Canis lupus familiaris: one gene and its partners. The protein of the gene in region 1 purifies or fractionates together with the protein of each later gene. This does not show direct contact. Links are inferred from orthologs where the notes say so. Each region holds a gene or a part of one and is shown in the gene's direction. Other genes may lie near its edges. The genes, in order: SRPK2, RBM27 and RBM26.

What was found.
Region 2: the proteins of SRPK2 (region 1) and RBM27 purify together in Homo sapiens (affinity purification with mass spectrometry; 3 studies listed by BioGRID and IntAct, with this or other methods). This does not show direct contact. The link is inferred for Canis lupus familiaris from reciprocal best matches to the Homo sapiens genes SRPK2 and RBM27.
Region 3: the proteins of SRPK2 (region 1) and RBM26 purify together in Homo sapiens (co-immunoprecipitation; 3 studies listed by BioGRID and IntAct, with this or other methods). This does not show direct contact. The link is inferred for Canis lupus familiaris from reciprocal best matches to the Homo sapiens genes SRPK2 and RBM26.

The regions. Positions count from the first base shown.
Region 1 is NC_049239.1:15,478,982-15,486,184, forward strand, and holds part of SRPK2 (SRSF protein kinase 2), read left to right. Parts: intron 1-1,826; coding exon 1,827-1,935; intron 1,936-3,016; coding exon 3,017-3,104; intron 3,105-3,297; coding exon 3,298-3,385; intron 3,386-6,418; coding exon 6,419-6,525; intron 6,526-7,203. UniProt on the Homo sapiens protein: Serine/arginine-rich protein-specific kinase which specifically phosphorylates its substrates at serine residues located in regions rich in arginine/serine dipeptides, known as RS domains and is involved in the phosphorylation of SR splicing factors and the regulation of splicing.
Region 2 is NC_049223.1:39,856,340-39,863,542, forward strand, and holds part of RBM27 (RNA-binding protein 27), read left to right. Parts: intron 1-1,848; exon of another isoform or gene 1,849-1,982; intron 1,983-4,395; coding exon 4,396-4,515; intron 4,516-5,387; coding exon 5,388-5,462; intron 5,463-5,603; coding exon 5,604-5,768; intron 5,769-7,203. UniProt on the Homo sapiens protein: May be involved in the turnover of nuclear polyadenylated (pA+) RNA.
Region 3 is NC_049243.1:32,682,424-32,688,429, reverse strand, and holds the end of RBM26 (RNA-binding protein 26), read left to right. Parts: intron 1-2,332; coding exon 2,333-2,446; intron 2,447-3,513; coding exon 3,514-3,606; 3' UTR 3,607-3,856; downstream 3,857-6,006. UniProt on the Homo sapiens protein: May be involved in the turnover of nuclear polyadenylated (pA+) RNA.

The DNA.
Region 1 (7,203 bases):
CTTGACCTATGTGTTTATTGTGAAATCACTACAATGAGTTTAGTCACCACCTATCTTATCTGCTATATTCTTAATTTATTATCTTTTAGTTCATATCTTTTACCCAGAATACTGTTAAAGGCTTTGTGTGTGTGTGTGTGTGTTTTTAAGATTTTATTTATTTATTCATGAGACACACACACACACACACACACACACACACACACAGAGGCAGAGACACAGGCAGAGGGAGAAGCAGGCTCCATGCAGGAGCCCAATGTACGACTCAATCCCGGGACTCCAGGATCATACCCTAGGCCAATAGCAGATGCTAAACCACTGAGCCACCCAGGGATCCCCCTGTTAAAGACTTTGATATTAAAATCTGAGAAATCGGGATACCTGGGTGGCGCAGCGGTTTGGCGCCTGCCTTTGGCCCAGGGCACGATCCTGGAGACCCAGGATCGAATCCCACATCGGGCTCCCGGTGCATGGGGCCTGCTTCTCCCTCTGCCTATGTCTCTGCCTCTCTCTCTCTGTGACTATCATAAATTAAAAAAAAAAAAAATAAAATAAAATAAAATCTGAGAAATCCAGGTGTAATGGCAGGAGAATAAGAATCTTTAAAACTCAGTATCTTGTCAAATTACTGCTTCACTAATTCAGTTAGGAAACAATCTAAATAAACCCAAAAAATATTCATAGTATTTCTTGAAGTTTACTCCTAGCCTTCTGAAAGAAACTTAGATACATTAAAAGATGTGGCTTGAATACTTCCTGCACCTGCTCTGAGCCTCTGAACACTAGCTGGGAAGGACCTATCCACGGACCTATCCTTCCTTGAGTGACTTGTAAGAATTGACTTGCAGACTTGAAAAATGAGAGATAATGTTGCAATAAAGAAGCGGATGTTATAAGAATAAAAAGTCAGAAAGCATTATGTGTATTTTAGTAAAAAATTAAGGTAGATAAAAAGAATAAAAGTAATTTTATACCCAGAGATGTTTGTTGCAAACATCTTATCCCCCTAGATTTTTCCTGGTGTATTTCACAAAAATGGTATCACATTCTTCATGCTACTTTGCAGCCTGTTTATTTTACTTACAAATACAGAGTAAAGGTCTTTTTATGCCAGATATTTATGAAAGCACTCTTTTACCTTTCCCAAGTATCTGCCTCCACAGGGTATGCTCTCTCACTCTCCATCCTATTTCTCAGCAGTGGTTTGAGGTTGGAGAAGTCAGGGGAGAGAGGAGTGAGCTGTGTTGGAGGGTGAACTGTTGTACATTATATGATTCCTTGTTGGTTATACACTAACTATTGGTGTATGCAGATTTACTCAGAGTACACATTTTTTATTTTGCTGAGTTATTATACTAACCCAAGAAGATTTGCATTGAATTTATTGCTTAGAAAAGAAGATGACATTGTATGGAAAAGTCAAGAACTGGTGTGTGCATATTATGTACACAAATTACTGTTACAGAGTGCTTGATGGCTTGTCTGAGTTAAATCAGAATGAACAGAAGGGCTTTTTAGGCAAAGGACATTTTTCTCTCGATGAAAGATACTTTCAAGAAAAATGTTGTATTATTAAACATATTTTGATCTGATTTTAGTACTTAGAGCTTTCTTAAATGGACTCAAGAACTGACTAAAGGGTGCACCTGGCGGGCTCAGTCAGTAGAGCATGTAATTCTTGATCTTGGGGTCTTGAGTTCAAGCTCCACATTGAGTATAGAGATTAATTGAAAAATAAATACAATCTTAAAAAAAAAAGAACTGACACAAAGGAAGAGATTTTATTACTATTTCTCTGAAATTAAAAAAAAAATTTTTTATAACAGGTGGCTACCATCCGGTGAAAATTGGAGACCTCTTCAATGGCCGCTACCATGTTATTAGGAAGCTAGGATGGGGACACTTCTCAACTGTCTGGCTGTGCTGGGATATGCAGTAAGTGTTCTTTGTCATTTGTGCATTTAGTTTCTGGACTAGTTCAACCTTTATAATACAATATGGCTGAGGAGCATGCCTACTTCTGTTGTGGCATGTATACTACTTGGCATAAGCCTGCCCCACTCACCTAGAGACCCACCCACCCCAGTCAGAAGTTCTCTTGTCTGTTATCTTAATATTATTAACTTTCTTCTGCTTTTATGTCTGAAGCTTATTCATTGAAATTGCATTGTATCACATATTCTTCTAATAATTCACCCATATCAGAGAAACATTCACATGTAAAATAATGATGTGTCGACCTTAAAAGTCAGTGGTTTCTAACTTTTTTTTTTTTTTTTTTTTACGGCTCCATAGTATGAAACTACAATGCTACCCCTTACACACATACATATATGGTGTGTATGTGTATGTACTAAAACAGAAGTGTTATAAAATAAGAATTACCTTTAATGTATGGATGAACTCTGATATTTTTCCAGTCTACCTTTTTTTTTTAATTAGGTAAAGACAACATGATGCAAAGAAGAGATTGTTTTGATCCATTAACCTATTGCTTAATTGCTGTTGCACAATTTGAAAAGTACTGTCTTGTTTTTTTTTTTTTTTTCAAGATTTTATTCATTTATTCATGAGAGACACAGAGAGACAGAGACACAGGCAGAGGGAGAAGGCTCCATGCAGGGAGCCCGATGTGGGACTCAATCCCGGGACTCCGGGATCACACCCTGGGCTGAAAGCAGGCGCTAAACTGCTGAGCCACCCAGGGATCCCCGAAAAAGTACTGTTTTAAAGGAAAGATTTTTAGAAGTTCTTATTTATTGGGATGCTTGGGTGGCTCAGTGGTTGAGCATCTGCCTTTGGCTCAGGTCCTGATCCTGGGGTCCTGGGATCAAGTCTTATATCAGGCTCCCCGCAGGGAACCTGCTTCTCCCTCTGCCTATGTCCCTGCCCCTCTCTCTGTGTGTCTGTCATGAATAAATAAAATCTTTAAAAAAAGGAAGTTTCTATTTATTGAATAGATGTTATTATAATGATTACTTCTGTTAATATTAAAAATATGCATTTTTTTTTAAAGGGGGAAAAGATTTGTTGCAATGAAAGTTGTAAAAAGTGCCCAGCATTATACAGAGACAGCCTTGGATGAAATAAAACTGCTCAAATGTGTAAGTATCCCCAAAATGTGAATAATGCAAGAAAAATTAATGACAAAATTTTACAGAGGAATTTTTAAGTTTGAATGATGAATCTTTTATCTTTAAAAACATCCATTTTACTAAAATGTTTTTAGTTGATTATAATGGAAATGACTTTCAGTCTTAAATATTTCTGTCCTTGAATTCATTTTTTTTCCTGTAGGTTCGAGAAAGTGATCCCACTGACCCGAATAAAGACATGGTAGTACAGTTAATTGATGACTTCAAGATTTCAGGCATGAATGGAATACGTATCCTTACTGATAATTCTTTTATTTCCTAGTGGCTTTTTACTTTTAAAATATGGAAATATTTCAAGCTTGTTTAAACTCCTGTTTGCTGTGCTGTATCAATGTCTATATAAAGCCTCTACTGTCATCATAGAATGCTATAACATGGTATGCCGAAAATTCCCCAATTCCTGCCAGTCCATTTCAGTGTCTTGGGTAATCTCTCTGGGGTTGTACAGCATCTTAAACATTCTTCTTGTCCAGGCACCGTGCTCTTTACAGACAATCCCTCTACCTTCAATATCAAGCTGGGGAAGAACCATACATATGTGTAAGTAGAGAGCAGAGAAAGATTAGTCACAGTCATCATTACAGATGAAAAGGAGCAAAAGATCGGTTGTGTCAAGAGTCAGGGTCTTCTCCTTGCCAATCTTTTGCTCCTTCCATCATAACATGTTTGGAACAGATCCATCATTTTGGTATTTGACCTCCTCCAGCTCCAGAAGCCCGAGGACAAAGCCTTCTCCCAGCTTACAGCCCAGACTGGTACCCTGTTTCTGTATCTCCTAAGCTTTAATCCCTGAGCAGGCACTTCCTTCATACCCTGTATGTCTGAAGGAGGTTCTGTATTTCCTTCAGAGATTGGATTAGAGGGTACTAGTAAGTACCAGTGCCTGCTGATGTCACTTTGTCTTTTCCTCAAGATTATTTCTGGTTGTTGCTCAGTGCATTTTCCCCTCGTTTTTTTTTTTTTTTTTTTTTTTTTTTTTAAAGATTGATTTTTGAGGGAGAGATTTGAAGAGGAGGAGGGGCAGAGAGAAAAGGAGAGAAAGAATCTCAAGCAGACTCCCCACTGAGCATGGAGCCCGATGCAGGGCTCAATCTCATGACCCTGAGATCACATACTGAGCCAAAATCAAGAGTCAGACGCTCATCCAAGTCATTCAGGTTCTGGTGTTCTTTCCACCACCCTATAGACAGAGCTGGTCCTTTGCCCTGTCTCCAGGTGAGCTTGTTTGTTTATGGGCAGGCAGGGCAGCTCCTCTTCTTAGTTTTGTAAGGCAGTTTGCTGGGATAGCTGAGAGAATTTCTTTGGAGAAACTACCTGATTTATAGGTAAATGGAGTGTTTTGGGTATATATACATTCCAGTGGCTGTTATTACTATTTTATAAAGCGCCAGGGAAACCATTATAGTCCAGGTTGTCAGTGCTTTGAGAAGATTTAGGTCATAATTTAGAAATCTTGGCCTTTGGCTCTGCGTCTTTTACCAACTGTAATCATTTTGCCATTTTTTATAATGATTTGGGAAATAGTAAGAAACTTCTGGCTTTATATTATCTGTGCATAAATCTATAATGTTCTCCTACAGTGTAGAAATGCTTTTTAAATTTTTCACTAAAAATATTTAAAGCAAAAAATAAAATAAAATAAAAATATTTAAAGCAACTGTGATAATTTGATTGGTAGATCTAGATATTGTAGTACAAAATATTAAATCAATTAACCTGCTTTTAATAGCCTGTCTTTAGGCTTCCAGAGATGAACAATATATTCTAAAAAGGTTTCAGAGACATTATAAATCTTTCTATATGAATAACATGAATATATTTGTATGATGGACTTTAGTGGGTCTACTTCTGCAGAGTCCCTGGTTGACTAGAATACCCAAATTCCTGAGATTTCATTATTAAATGCTATGTTCTATATTGTGATCTTACATCATTGAGAGCCTCCTGTAGTATTAAACTTGATCTGGTTCTGCAAAGAAAGATACTCTTGGGGGGTGCCTGGGTGGTCAGTCAGCTAAGTGTCTGCCTCCAGCTCAGGTCATGATCTCAGGATCCTGGGATCAAGCCCCGCATGGGGTGGGGGGGGGTCCCTGCTCAGCAGGAAGTCTGCTTCTTCCTCTCCCTCTGCCCTTCTCTTGCTCATGTACGAGCGCACTCTCTCAAATAAATAAATCTTTAAAAAATATATATACTATTGAAGGAAAAGGTTAAATATCTTCACTGTGTTTTGTAAATTTCTATTTTATAAAATGTTTTATGTGTTAGGAATATAGGCAGGCAGGACACTTTTAAGAAAGGGTTTTTTGTTGCCCCCTCTCCCCCATCAGTTTTTTTTTTTTTTTTTTTTTTTAAGATTTTATTTATTTATTCGTGAGAGAGGGAGGGAGGGGCGCAGAGACACAAGCAGGCTCCATGCAGGGAACCTGACATGGGACTTGATCCTGGGTCTCCAGGATCAGGCCCTAGGCCGAAGGCGGCGCTAAACTGCTGAGCCACCCGGGCTGCCCTCCCATCAGTTTTTATGAGGTTTTAGCCTTGCTTACTTTCATTACTGCTGATTATCAGGGAGGGGGATGTTGAAATGAGCAAGAGTGCAGGGAGGTGCAAGGTTGCCTCATGACCCAGCAACTTTTGGACTGTGTGACACTGGGGATCTTTTCGGCTCCTGGGTTCACTGTGGTTGCTTCTGTGTAGGGGTAAGCATATTGTTTGATAAGCCTACACTGAGTAACATGTAGGATATAAGTACTTGGTAAATGTTAGATCTACCTATTTTGGTGAGAAACAGCCTGTGACCACTTTGGTATTATTGATGGTAGTGATGATGCATTTTTATTTTATTTTATTTTATTTTATTTTATTTTATTTTATTTTATTTATTTATTTTATTTTATTTTATTTTATTTTATTATTTATTTTATTTTATTTTATTTATTTTATTTTGATGTTGCATTTTTAAATGTTTTTTGTTGTTTCTTAGTGCACGCATGTAGGTGTGCATGATTGGGGATGGGGCACCATGGAGAATCCCAAGCAGTCTCCATGGTGAGCGTGGAGCCCAACGCGGGGCTCCTTCTCACTACCCTGAGATCATGATCTGACCCAATACCAAGAGTTGGACGCTTACCTGACTGCGCCACCCACGTGCCCCATGATACAGCATTTTATAAAGATAAAATTGCCAAGTGCTACAATGATACCGCTTTGAGTAATTGCCTCACTCCAGGAAATGTGTCCACACGTGATCCTTAACCATATCCCAGATGTCTGCATGGTCTTCGAAGTGCTTGGCCATCATCTCCTCAAGTGGATCATCAAGTCCAATTACCAAGGCCTCCCCGTACGTTGTGTGAAGAGTATCATTCGACAGGTGAGGAAGCCAGGGCAGCCCTGCCCTCCAGTGCCTAACTGGCTAGCCTTTCAGTGCAAATTGCTGTTCTTAAATACACACACATGTGCATGCTGTCACAGGTATAAATATAATCTCTTATAAATTTATACATGTACATTACAGTGTACATTTGAACTTGTTACATCAGTTTTATAATTATCTAATCACATGTCATTCTGTCTTGTGAAGAGGGCAGTAGGTAAATGTCAGGCATGCATTTCTTTTGGTGTATTGATCTTTTGTTAAGGTAAGTGATACGACATACTGAGGAATTGTTTTATCTAATATCATTACTATGAAATGACCCATTTAGTTCCTTATAAAATAGAGAAGAAATAGATAATTTGTGTTTGTTTACTATTTCTATGTATCTTTGGATGGAGGCTAAATGAAAGATAATGTAAAGAATGTTTAAGTTATATCGGGAGTATCATGTTAGATTTGTACTTTATTCAATTGCCTTGACAAAAGAAAACCTTTAGCTGGGGTCTGATTCAAGTATGATGTTCTAGCAAATATTTATAGGATGAAAGTATACACATATGGAAGATCTCCTAATTAGAAATATCTACCAGATTCGGTTTTCTGCATGGAATATATCAATCTTATTCCTCATTGCCCTTATAGCCTACCTAGGAAAGTTACAGATACAATTTA
Region 2 (7,203 bases), on another chromosome or scaffold:
ATCTCTAAAAATTAAAAAGACAAGTGAAACGAATTCATGTTTGCTTAGAGAGTACTTTAAAAACACAGTTATTTGACTATATTCCTAATGAGATGAAGCCTGAGGCAAAAAGCAATTTTTTAAAAAAGATTCATTTAGGGCAGCCTGGGTGGCTCAGCAGTTTAGCACCGCCTTCAGCCCAGGGCCTGATCCTGGAGTCCTGGGATTGAGTCCCACATCGGGTTCCCTGCATGGAGCCTGCTTCTCCCTTTTGAATGTGCCTGCCACCCCCGCCCCCATGAATAAATAAATAAAATCTTTAAAAAAATATATTTGAGAAAGAGAAAGAAATGTGTGGGGGAGGGGTAGAGAGAGGAAGAGAGAAATCCAAGCACCCTCTACACTGAGCCTAGAGCCTGACTTGGGGCTGAATTCCAATGACCCTGAGATCACAACCTAAGCTGAAACCAAGAGTGAATGCTTGATAAGCTATACCACAAGGCGCCCCACAAAAAGCAATTCTATTTCTCTAAAGATTTTTATTTATTTATTCAGGAGAGACAGAAACATAGGCAGAGGGAGAAGCAGGCTCCCTGCCGGGGAGCCCCAAAAAGCAATTTTAAAAAGTATTTTTCTTCAAAAAAAAAAAAAAAAGTATTTTTCAGTAATCATGATTCTGGCAGTGTTGGTATTCTGAAACTAGTTTGTGAGCATTGTAGGGTAAATCAAATGAAGAATTAATATTGTCAATGACAACTGATATATTTAGTGCAGTTGAAAAGAGGCATACAATAGATGAGATAAGGTAAAAACACCGTAGTCTGCTTTGAATTCAAAGTATGGTTGATCCTTGAACATTCGTGGTTTGAATTGTGCCAGGTCCACATGAACATGGATCAGTCAATCAATTTATTTATTTATGGTTTTATTTAAATTCAAGTTAGTTAACATAATCTACTATTAATTTCAGGGTAGAATTTTAAAGATTTTATTTATTTGAGAGAGTGCAAAAGAGCATGGGGGAGGGAGCAGTAGAGGGAGTAGAGTAGGACTTTGGGACCATGACTTGAGCCAAAGGTAGACACTTAACTTACTGAGCCATCTACACACCCTCGAGGTAGACTTTAGTGATTTATCAGTTGCATATAACACCTGTTACTTATTATACCAAGTGCCCTCCTTAATGCCAATCACCCAATTACCCCACACTACTCACCTCCCTCCCCTCCAGCAACCCTCAGTTTGTTCTCTGTAGTTAAGACCCTCTTATGATTTGTCTCCCTCTTTGTTTTTAGATTATTTTATTTTCCCTTGCTGTCCCCTCCATTTATCTGTTTGTTTCTTCAATTCCACATGAGTAAAATCATATGGTTGTCTTTCTCTGACTGAATTTGTTTAGCATAATACATTCTAGTTCTAGCCACATCATTGCCAATGGCAAGATTTCATTCTTTTTGATGACTGAGTAATACTCTGCTTTATACATAATACCACATCTTCTTTATCCATCCGTCAGTGGACACCTGCTCCTTTTAAACATAGATTTTTAAGATTAGTACAGTAAATTACTGTAAATGTATTAAAGAAACATTTTCTTTTCTATAGCTTATTATCGTAAGAATACAGTTATATGATATACCAAGTATGTGTTGTTTATTTTATCAGTAAGGCTTCTGGTCAACAGTAGGCTATTAAGTTTTAGAGGAGTCAAAAGTTAAATATGTGTATTTTTGTACTGTGGGGTGGGGGTGGGGTCAATCTTGAGTTATTTAAGGATCAACTGTATTGATAACAATTTCAGATACTGTTTTATCTTAAAAAACAAATAAGCAATAAAAAGCTCTAAGACATTTCTTAAATTCTACTCACTGAAAAGGTCTAGAAGTAATAATCAGTCCAAGGGTAATGACCCCTTGCCCCCTCCCAAGCACTCAGAGGAGCCAAGGGTTCTTGAGGAAAGAACCCCAGATCTGGGTCTAACAGTGTTCTAGATGACCCTGGAATATTTTATCCAACCAGAAAATGGAAGTTGTCAAAGATTCTGGAATCCTGTCAGAGAATGAGCTGTAGTCATAAAGGCTCTAGATCTATTCACAAATTTAAAGGAAATTCAAAGGACAGTGGAACATGTTACCAGGGTATTCTAGAATTCTGTGGCAAATATTGCACGATGAGTGATGTGGTTTCTTCAATAAACAATTTGAAAAAAAAAAAAAGACGGGGGGAATGAAATGGTATTAAAGGAGACTTAAAAGAAATACAACCAGTGACAGTAGATGGACTGTATAGATCCCAATTCAAGTGATAAGAAATGTTTAGAATGTGAATATCTAATCATATTAAGTAGTTACTATCTTTTAAGTGTGATGATGGTACGGGGTTATATTTACAAAAGGAAGGGGGCGTTATCTTTTAAAGGTACAACTGTAATATTTACAGATAAAACAACGTGGTGTTTGGTATGAGTGTGGAGTTGGGGATTTAAGTAAAACAAGATTATATAGTCTCCCCTTATCTGCGGGGGATATTTTCCGAGATCCACAGTGGATGCTTGACACCATAGATAATACCAAACCCTATGTGTACTATCTTTTTTCCTGTATATACCTGCCCATAATAAAGTTTAACTTATAAATTAGGCACAATGAAAGGAAAAACAACAATAATAAAATGGAACATTTACAACAATATGCTTTAATAAATGAGAGGTCATTCTCAAAACATTGTACGATACTCATCCTTGTTCATGTGATGATGTGACATGATAAAATGCCTACATAATGAGGTAAAGTGAAGTGAATGATACAAGCATTATGATGTAGTATTAGGTTACCCATGACCTTCTGATGAGCCAGATGAAGGTTATCTATTTCTAGACCGCACTTGACCTCTGGTAACTGAAACCGTGGAAATCCAAACTGTAGATAAGGGGGAACTACTATATTTTATGTCCTGATAACTGTTGGTGCTTGGTGATGGATACATCAAATTGGTAATATAACTCTTTTGTTTCAAAAATTCCATTATAAAAAGATACCAAAACAAAGACATTATAGATTTGGAAGTCAGACAGACGTGACTGACTTGACCTGCCTCTTACTGGATATATTAGATAACTCAAGAGTATTGATTTCCTTTTCTATAAATTGAGTTGCTGTGGGGATTGAAAAATTTCATATTCATAAAGCATGGAACAAGAGTACTTAATACATACTAAGTGCTCAGTAAATTGTAGGTATTGCCATTTGTATGTTAGTAAATAATATGAATTTCAGCTGTGTAGTGTTCCTACAGTATTTCAGAGATGCTTGTGTAGTTAAAGTAGCTTAATTTTGAGGACAATTAACTATTGTTTGAGAGAAGTTTTGTATTTTATTATGGATATTTAATGATAGAATTCACACAATTGAATTTTCTGTGAATTTCTCAATATTATATATTGTGCCCCTTATATCACATATTTTTTTTATATCACATATTTAAAGTCAGTTAAAAAATAAAAGAGGAGAGTGTGTTAGGAAAGACTTGAACCAGAGAGATAGTACTGTATCATGTAGTTCTGCTGTGCCTTAAGGGAAGACTAACTGGAGAACGGTCTGTTCAGAAGGAGAAAGCAATCTAAATAACAAAACTAGCACAGTAGAGATGGCCAGTACTTTACTCAGATCTGTGAGCTAACTGCTTGTTGTAGGTTTGATTATAAACTCATATAGCACTTGATTAAATATAATAATATTATGATTACAAAGTACCTTAATCCTGAGTTAGTTGATTTGGAGGAGGGTTTAAGGAAACCAGTAATTCTGTGATCAGATGTCTTAATTAGCCTTAACCTAAAAGGACGGAAAACTAGGATGAGGCTAGAGCTATAACTGGTAAAGAAGCTACAGTCATCCCTGTTAGCCGGGTTAGAGAGAGATTTAGTCAGTTTTACTGTTTAGACAGGATTCCTCTTTTTTTGTCTCTTCAGTCATGATTATGGAGTGATCTTGTGGTCTTGTTTATGCCTTGACCCATCCTGGTCTCAAGAGTGGCCTTGTTGGAGATTTTTTTATGAAATTGTTTTTGTTTAACAGGAGGACATATAAGGACTGACTCTGGGTAGTTGGCTGGCTGCTCCTAGATATAAGGGGCCACATTCTTTTTCTCTTAATTAAAAAAATGTAACTAGAAGAGGAATAATGTGATCATATCCTGAAACACAACATTATTGCTAAAATTAATTTGTTTTTGCATTTGAGTGACAATTGGATTTATGTATACATAAAAAGCTAGTTTTATAAATGAAGTTTTTAATGTAAAAAAATGTATAACTCCTAAAAAAATACAAATACTTGCAGCCTTTCTAAAAAATTAAAGCTTTTCTAAAATTTGATTTTATATGTTCTAAAATTTGATTTTATATGTGTTTCCTAGATATTTTCAGCTCCAGGCCATCCAAAAATGATTTACAGCTCCTCAAACTTAAAGACACCTTCGAAACTTTGTTCAGGTTCTAAATCTCATGATGTTCAAGAAGTTCTTAAAAAGAAGCAGGTAACAGCCTTGATTCTAATCTCCTTAAAGAGGAACTGACCCATTGAATTCTTAAGTGATTATGTTAGCACATTTGGATAGTTCATGTTGTTATGGAACCACATTATAATGTTTATTTAGCTGCTTTTTGGTACAGTGTACATTTGAAAAAAAAAGATGAACAGACAAAAATGTATTTAGTGGTTCCCTTTCAGTAGCTATATCAAACACAAGGAAAGAATTTTTCTGATATAAAAATAAATAATACTGAGTTGACCTGTTTTGGTTTTTTTCTCCAAGATCAGGAAGCAGACAGTTTAACTTCATTATTTCCTCTTTTAAATCCTCTCTTGCTTTGTAAGTTAGACAATATTTCACATAAAGTATAACATTTATGTACTTGTTATTCATATGATTCACTTCTGAGTTTCATTATTACTATTATTATTAAAAGTGAAGTTTCATTCACTTTTTAGATTTAAACTCATATAAGAGTTTTTCAAATAAAATGTATGTTTGTATGGTCTCAGTATAATTGGAGATTAACAGAGAGGGGTGAGATACAATATTTTCCTGGTAAAAATCCATAGAATTTGCTATGACTTCTGTCCTCTAGCTTTATTTCACATTTTTAAACTTGAAACATGAAAAATAAGGATTGGCTTATTACATTGGCAAGGAAAAACAGGTATTCTTTATAAATACATTTACGTCATTCAAGTAAATAAATGTATTTAAAGGTTTTTGTCTCTGGTTTCAGCTATTTTTTGATTCGGAGCAGAATTTTTCGTACACAACATAGGAATGACCCTGAAGAAATGAGTTGGTCTTTTAACAAATGTATGCAAATGTTGGCAATATCCATTACTAATTTTTTTAATCTGTTCGTATAGGAAGCAATGAAGCTACAACAAGATATGAGGAAAAAGAGACAAGAAGTGCTAGAAAAACAAATAGAATGCCAGAAGGTAAGATAAGAACTCATTATTTGCTTGCTGGAAGATGGATACAATGGATTTTACAAAGATACCTTCATAGTAAAGTTTATAAAGGTTATTTATATTAAAATTTACTAAGCATGGTTTTACTTTCTTCTGTTTATTTTATAGATGCTAATATCTAAGCTAGAAAAGAACAAAAACATGAAACCAGAAGAGAGAGCAAACATAATGAAGACTCTAAAAGAGCTTGGAGAAAAGATTTCACAATTGAAAGATGAATTAAAAACATCTTCTGCAGTCTCCACACCATCTAAAGTAAAGACAAAAACAGAGGTATCTATTTGCATTTTCCATTCAGCATAGGGTTGTTGAACATCTGTTATGTGCTTGGCTCTTTGAAAGTACATTGGAAAAAAAAAAAAAAAAAGAAAGTACATTGGAGCCCTTAGGTAGCTAATAGTCTAATGGGGCGACAGAGTAACAATTTTTTTTAAATGTTCCTCTGTATGCTATGTACTCTCTTTGAAAGAGGTGCTAATACTCTCTTTGAACAAAGATTTTTTTTTTTTTAACTTCCTGAAGATGAAATTGCTAGAGTGATGGCAAAAAAAAAGTGTATTTTCCTGTTTCATGAATTGTTTTTCTAATATTATGGTATAGTGGAACCATCTCTTTTAATATTCAAAAGATACCATTGGCTTTAATATGGTAAAAATGTGGCATTCTGTTGAAAAAAAGAATCAGAATTTCTAGATCCACTTAAGTCTAATTTCATTAATTGCCATTTGTTTCCTTAGAGAGTACTTGCTCTGGAACCATATGCAGTGGTTCCATTATACTACAGCTCTTTAGGGAATTTTGGATTATTTTCTGGCCTTTTGATAACTTGGAATAATAAATTTATCAGATATATAGAATGCAAATTTTTATGTACATTATATATAATACATTTGAAATTGTGGCTCTCTCACCAGAGGGATGTAAAATATTTCATCAAAATTGCTTTGAAAAAATATTTTTATTGAAAATTTTCCTAATTATAGAAGCAGCATATACACATTTTAAAAGTTAATATTTGGGATCCCTGGGTGGCGCAGCGGTTTGGCGCCTGCCTTTGGCCCAGGGCGCGATCCTGGAGACCTGGGATCGAATCCCACGTCGGGCTCCTGGTGCATGGAGCCTGCTTCTCCCTCTGCCTATGTCTCTGCCTGCCTCTCTCTCTCTCTCTCTGTGTGTGTGACTGTCATAAATAAATAAAAAAAAATTAAAAAAAAAAAAAAAAGTTAATATTTGAAGGGAAAAAGTCTCTTCACAGTCATGCTATCTGAAGACATATAGGTTATCCCTCACACCCAAAAAAAGTGGCAGTAGTTGTAGGGTTCAAATCGGAAAGCAATTATGTGGCTATTATCTATTTGTACCATTAATGAGTATTACCTATGTAATTTATTTTGCCCGATTGTGTTTCATTTATGACTCTTTATTATTAGAAAATTATTCTCCCTCTTCTCAGTTGACTCTCCAAGGTCTGATTTTTAGGTCATCTGAAGCAGTAATACTGCTTATTATTTCTACTAATGTCAGTATACTCTCTTTGTATTTTTGCACAGTTAACCTTCCCTAAAACACTCAGGTTTATTGCATCCTCTTATTGTCATTTTGCCAAAAAAGATGTGTGTCATTACATAAGCATAATATTCTGAATAAGATCTTAGACGTTATCTAACAAATGCATTTTTTTTTCTTTTAATGAATACATTTTTACTCT
Region 3 (6,006 bases), on another chromosome or scaffold:
GAAATAAAGAAGTAATACAGTAATGGTATGGATAAACAGCTAATAGAACTAGAGTCCAGAAAAAGACTTAAGTATCTAAAAGAATTATAGAGGATTATAGGAAGATGTTTTATTTAAATCAGGGAATTTAAATTTACTGAGTAATCTGTAAATAATATTAGGACAACTGACTTTCAGGAAAAAATAATACATTGTGTGTTTATTTTTGGTATCAAAGATATATATGGAATTCCTGAAAATAATCTTAGTGTAAAGAAGGCTTTTTAAAGGTTTGGCACAACCTGGAAACCATAAAGATAAACACTGATAAATTATAGTACATGAAAATTTAAACTTACTTATGACAAAAATTTAGTTATGACAAAAAGAACAGAAACACCTTTCCCTTCAGTAAAATCATGCATTATAAACAAAACCATGATCCAGTTGAAAAAAGAATATTTTGCCAAACAGGACAAAGTTCATTTAAGAAATTAATTTAAATGTGTGTGTGTGTGTGTGTATATATACATAGAGCCATTCAAGAAAAGTGAAAAGTCTGTTGGTATGGCTATGGAAAGGATCTGTAAAATAATTGGATTAATAATAGAAAAAAAAAGTGTAAGATCAGTAAAGTATGTTCCCATGTACATATCCTACATATGTATATACACGAACCCTTTTAGTATGTGCATAGAACTTAATTTAGTGTGTTGCAGGATTTTTTTCCCCAAACTCTTCCAAAGATAATGGTTCTCTCTTCAGAATGGGACATCATGGATTATGATTTTTTTTTTACATTATATAACCTGAACTTTATGAATTTTTTAAAAAAATAAAATGATTGGGTTGTAGAATTTTTTTAAACTTTAAAGATTTTTATGTTGTAAATTACCTGAAATAAATTTGCAAGAACTTAAAAAGCAAGAACTAAGTTATCTCAAAAATGTATATAGCCAGAAGTTTATATAGTTTATGTAGTCAGAAGTTTCTAATGGAGAAGGTTGATAAAATGTTAAGTATACCTAGCTTTGAAAATCATCCTGTAAGATGTTAAAATTAAAACTTTAAAAAAGTTAAAACTTGAGAGGGTTGTAGACTCACCTTATAAATTTGAAAGTGTGTGTGCTAAATATAGAGATTTACAGTATTAGGTCATCAGAAATGTCAAGAACTTCTAGAAAATATCAGTAAAAGCTTTGACCTTTTTTTAACTGGATGAAAAGATGAGCTTTATGAGTAGACATTTTGCATGACACTCTTAGAATTCCTACAGTAATATATTTTTATGTAATAGTTTTAGTTTGAAAAAATTACAAGTTGTTTCTAATCTTAAATACCATATATAACTACTTAAAAATTTTTTAATTATATAACCCTGTGATGAGGCCATGGACTAAAAACTCCTGAGCTGCGTTTTAATGGGCATGAAATCTTTAAATTTATCATAGATTTATATGTGCAGATTTAAAATTTATATCTGGAGATTTTAGTATCACACAACTCATGGTCAGGTGTCACTGAACATGTAATTGTTTCTAGATTTCACATTATGCTATACTTTGAGGTTGTGCTATAAATCTTTTGTGACTATGAGTTATTTAGATATATTGCTAACATTGATTTATTTCAGTTCATGGTACTTTAATTTGAATGCACGATTTCTTAACCAGTCACTTAATGTAGCAAATACTAAGTTTGACTTCAATCTTAATGCAGTTCTGAAAGCTTTGTAAGAAGTACTTTAGTTTCAGTAGAAACGTTGAGTTTTTTTCTTCATGGAAGTAACATATTTGTAAGAGTGATATGACAAACATCATATATTTAAAAATAATGTTATACTCTACACATGCAAAATTATTTTTTATTTGTTAAAGTTTTCCAGTTTGTAGTTACTTTGCATGTCACTTGTAAATTAACAATTTAAATGCAATGAAATACAGTTAGCCTGTTGATCCTAATTTAGACTTCAATTCAGAATCTGCAGCCAGGATCTTGAAATGCCTTGAGATTGTTGCCTTGAATAGCCGTTTTATTGTGTTTTAAACATGTAAAGATAGTTCTAGTCAGATACTGGCCAGTAGTAAAAGATCTCTGCTCAAGCATGAGAAAGTGTACTTGTTTTCTTTTTAAAGGTATTTCCAACCACAAAGCTGGGTTTAGAAGTAAATAACCATAAAAAGTAAATAATAAATTATAATAAATAGTAAGTGAAGAAATAAATAACTACAAAGTAAATGGATAGGTATCTTTGCTTTTGTTTTAATTTAAATATTAGGTGCTATAACGTTTCACTGTTTTCTTCAGAAATTATTATTAATGTTCAACATTCTAATGTTCTTAATTGTTTTAGGCTGCAGTTCATGGAGCTCGTTTCAAAGGGCAGGATCTAAAACTGGCATGGAATAAACCAATAACTAATATTTCAGCTGTTGAAACAGAAGAAGTTGAACCTGATGAAGAGGAAGTATGTTTTTTTTTTTTTTAATTTGTTTTGGCCCTAAGTGCTCATGTTCTTATATGAGATGTGATTTTATGGCTGTGATTTTAACATAAAACTTTTATTCCTGAGCCATATTCCAGGAAGGGAATGTCAGATAAATGCAGACAACTTTAAATTTTCTGGATTAATGAGAACATGGATTGCTAATCCAAAAAGGAAAGAAAGAAAATCATATATATATACACAAATATATATACACGCTCAGTTTTCATTTACTCTTAGAAATCAATAATTATTGTTTAGATTTTTATCCACAGGAAATCTTGTAATATTTTAAGTTTTAGAGTATATATCCTACTCAATTGCTTTATTAACATTTCAGGTTTCCTTTATTTTAATTCATATTGTTTTAGTTCATTAGAGTGAATGCCTGCTATATGGTAGATACTGTGATAGGCACAAAAATGAATAAGACACGGTCCCTATCATCAAGGAGCTTATAATCTGGAAAGGGGGGTGGTGACAGACACATAAGAAACTAATTATAATGAAAGGCTCAATAAAGATTTGAACAATATGCTGTGGGAACCTAGGGGAAGGAGTGATTATTTCTGTTCAGAAGAATCTTGAAGAAGGTGGTGACAAGCATAGCTGAAGCCTAAGTGATCAAAAAGCTTTCCATAACCAAGAGCTGGACTGAGAATAGAGTTGAGAGAGGCATTTTAGATGTGGAAGAGGAATTAGATATGGAACAGTCCATTTTACTTGGGTACAGCAGTTAGTATGATGGCCAATAGGTGTGAACATAAAAAACAGTGAAGTGGGAGAGCCCTTTGAAATCATAAACCTAAAAATAAGCAACTCTATTTTGTTTGATCATGAAATAAGCTATAGGAAAAAATTGAGGAAGTTAATAAATAAAGGTAAGGTGGGGAAACAATGATTCCATGTTTTACCTTTGTTAGATTTTCGTAATGGCACTTCATTTGTTTGAAGAGCATTCGAGGCTGTTATACATATCCATAGTCAAATGCAAGAATAAAATGTGTATTTTGAAACTCATATACATGATTTGTCATTTTATATTTTAGATTATACCTTTGTCCTTCCATGAGTTTGAATTGAATGGGGAGAAAAGCAGGAGAGCTCCTGGTATTAGGTATTTTGAAAAGTTTGAAAAGTAGTCTGAGAAGCTTTTATGAAGGGAAATGGGGAAAAGCAAGGAATGCTATGAAAGAAATGTTTGTTACATATAGCAGAAAAAATATATAAATCTTGGTAGACGTTTCTACAAGTATTGATTGATTTAGTGTCCAGGGTTAGGGTAAGTCAGAGAAGACTTATTGATGTTTTCCTTTTTAAAAAAAAAAAACTAAAGGTATTGAGCAATGTTTTGCAGGTGTAGAAGATGGCATAATTTGATCAAGTGAGGCAGGAGAAATGGCATGTACAAAGGCTTTCTTTGATATTTTTTTTAGTGCCTATTTGATATAAGCAATAGAATAGATACTATAGAGAAACCATTGAGTGGATAAAGGTTGCTTTTCTTTGTTCTTGAATATTGTAGCTGTAGAAAATACCTTTTGTTTTCAACTCTGTTGAGAGAAATCAGTATTTAAAAGTGTCACCTTTTTTCTTTTCTTTTTTTTTTTTGGGTAAATTCCTAAATGCATTTTAACCTAAAGTTTCAGGAAGAGTCTTTGGTGGATGACTCATTACTTCAAGATGATGATGAAGAAGAAGAGGACAATGAATCTCGTTCTTGGAGAAGATGATTTGACTGATCATTGATCTGCATATGCTAGAACTCTACCTGTGTTTCATTAGTATTATCTAATGTACTTTTACATATTTGTAAAAACAATTTTTTGGTAAAATGTGATGAAGATGGATTTCACAAATAGACAAAAGAGAAGAAAACTACCTTCTGATCCTGTATTTTGAAAGATTGATGTTTGCATTTTATTTCAGTAAACAATTGCTAAAGACATCACACTAGAAACATATGCAATGTTTTTATTACATACTTCTACTGAACATTACGGAATTCTTTGGGTTCTTTGTAATTTAATGAATAGGTCTAAAAACTTATGACCAATACTTGTTATAACTTAGAGGATTTTGTTTTACTCCAAATAAGGAATGAATTTGCATTTAAAATCTTAATGAATGTTTTCAAAAATGAATAGATAACATAGTACTCTAACTAAAGTCTCCAAGTTATGTATTCATAATATTACATAGTAGTATGCTTAGGCTTTACTATGTATTAGCCTTTTGTTGGACTTGTGTATGTATTTTACTATATGGGTTTTAATGATAATGGTGTATGACTGCTTTGCATATGAGTCCTTATGCATTCAGATGTTAAAAATAAAGTGGAATGGTCTCTTGAACAGAAAAGAAAAAAAAAAAGCAATGACAAAAAAAAAAAAAAAAAAAAAAAACAACCCACAAAGGCCAAGACAATGTTCCTTGATTTTAAAAAAGAAAAAAAGAAAAAAAAAAAAAGAAAAAAATTAAAATAAATAGACCATTCCAGATGGTGATCTACCCTTCCCCCCAATTATCACAAAAGGAGCTATAATCACTAACTTATTAATAATGGTTACTGGTACCTTTACAATAATGTACAATCCAATGTGAAAAATTTATACCACTTCAGTTTGGTTTGATCCTATAAATTTTCAACAGATGTCTTAAAATTTAAAAGCAGGCTATTAGTTTGGAACCAGACTTCAAGTAGAGCTAACATTTGGTGAATAAGAAAACATCACATTACATTTTGGATGTATGAAAGAAAACATGACCATTTGAAGATGTATGAATAAAGAAATGTACTATAGATACTACTTTAGGAAAACACTGTTTGGTAAGTGTTCCAGTCTGATATTTTAAGTGTGCATTTCCTATACTTGTATAAAAATCTTTGACATTTGCAACAGTATTGTGATTTTAAGTGAATTTCTCTGGCAAATGAACATGATCATTGAAAGTTGATACAGCAATTTCAGGAAATAAATGCATTCTTTGTAGAATGAGGGGGTGGGAGATTACATATTTATCTTTTAAAATTCATCATTTCAGTTGCAAGTGTTTCTGCCCTTCCTAAGATCATAGTGATTTTATTAAATGTCACATTGAAAAAATAACTTTCTTCCCATACTGGGGTCCTCACAGTCACAAACTGTAATTCCAACACCATAATCCTCTGTCAGTGGTGTAACTAATGGCTGCTGTTCCTCTTTTTTTTTTTCCCCCTCCCACATTTAGGGTTAAAATTGTATATATGTTCTTGATGGTAATACTATTTCATAGGAATGTTTTGGCTTGCAATTGGTACATGTGTTAATATTTAAAATTTCAAAATTGATTTCTTTTGTCAAAATAGTTATTCAAAAACTTCTTTACTTAGATCTATGATATATTTTTATGTAGTCTTTTGTATGTTGACTATGTGCTATTCTGATTCATTAGGTAAGTTTGTTTTCTTTTCTTTTTAGTAGTCGTGAAAGGTGCCAAATTGGCAGAGGCTCACGTTTCTTCTCTTTACACCAAACAGGTATTATAAAGAAAGAAAATCT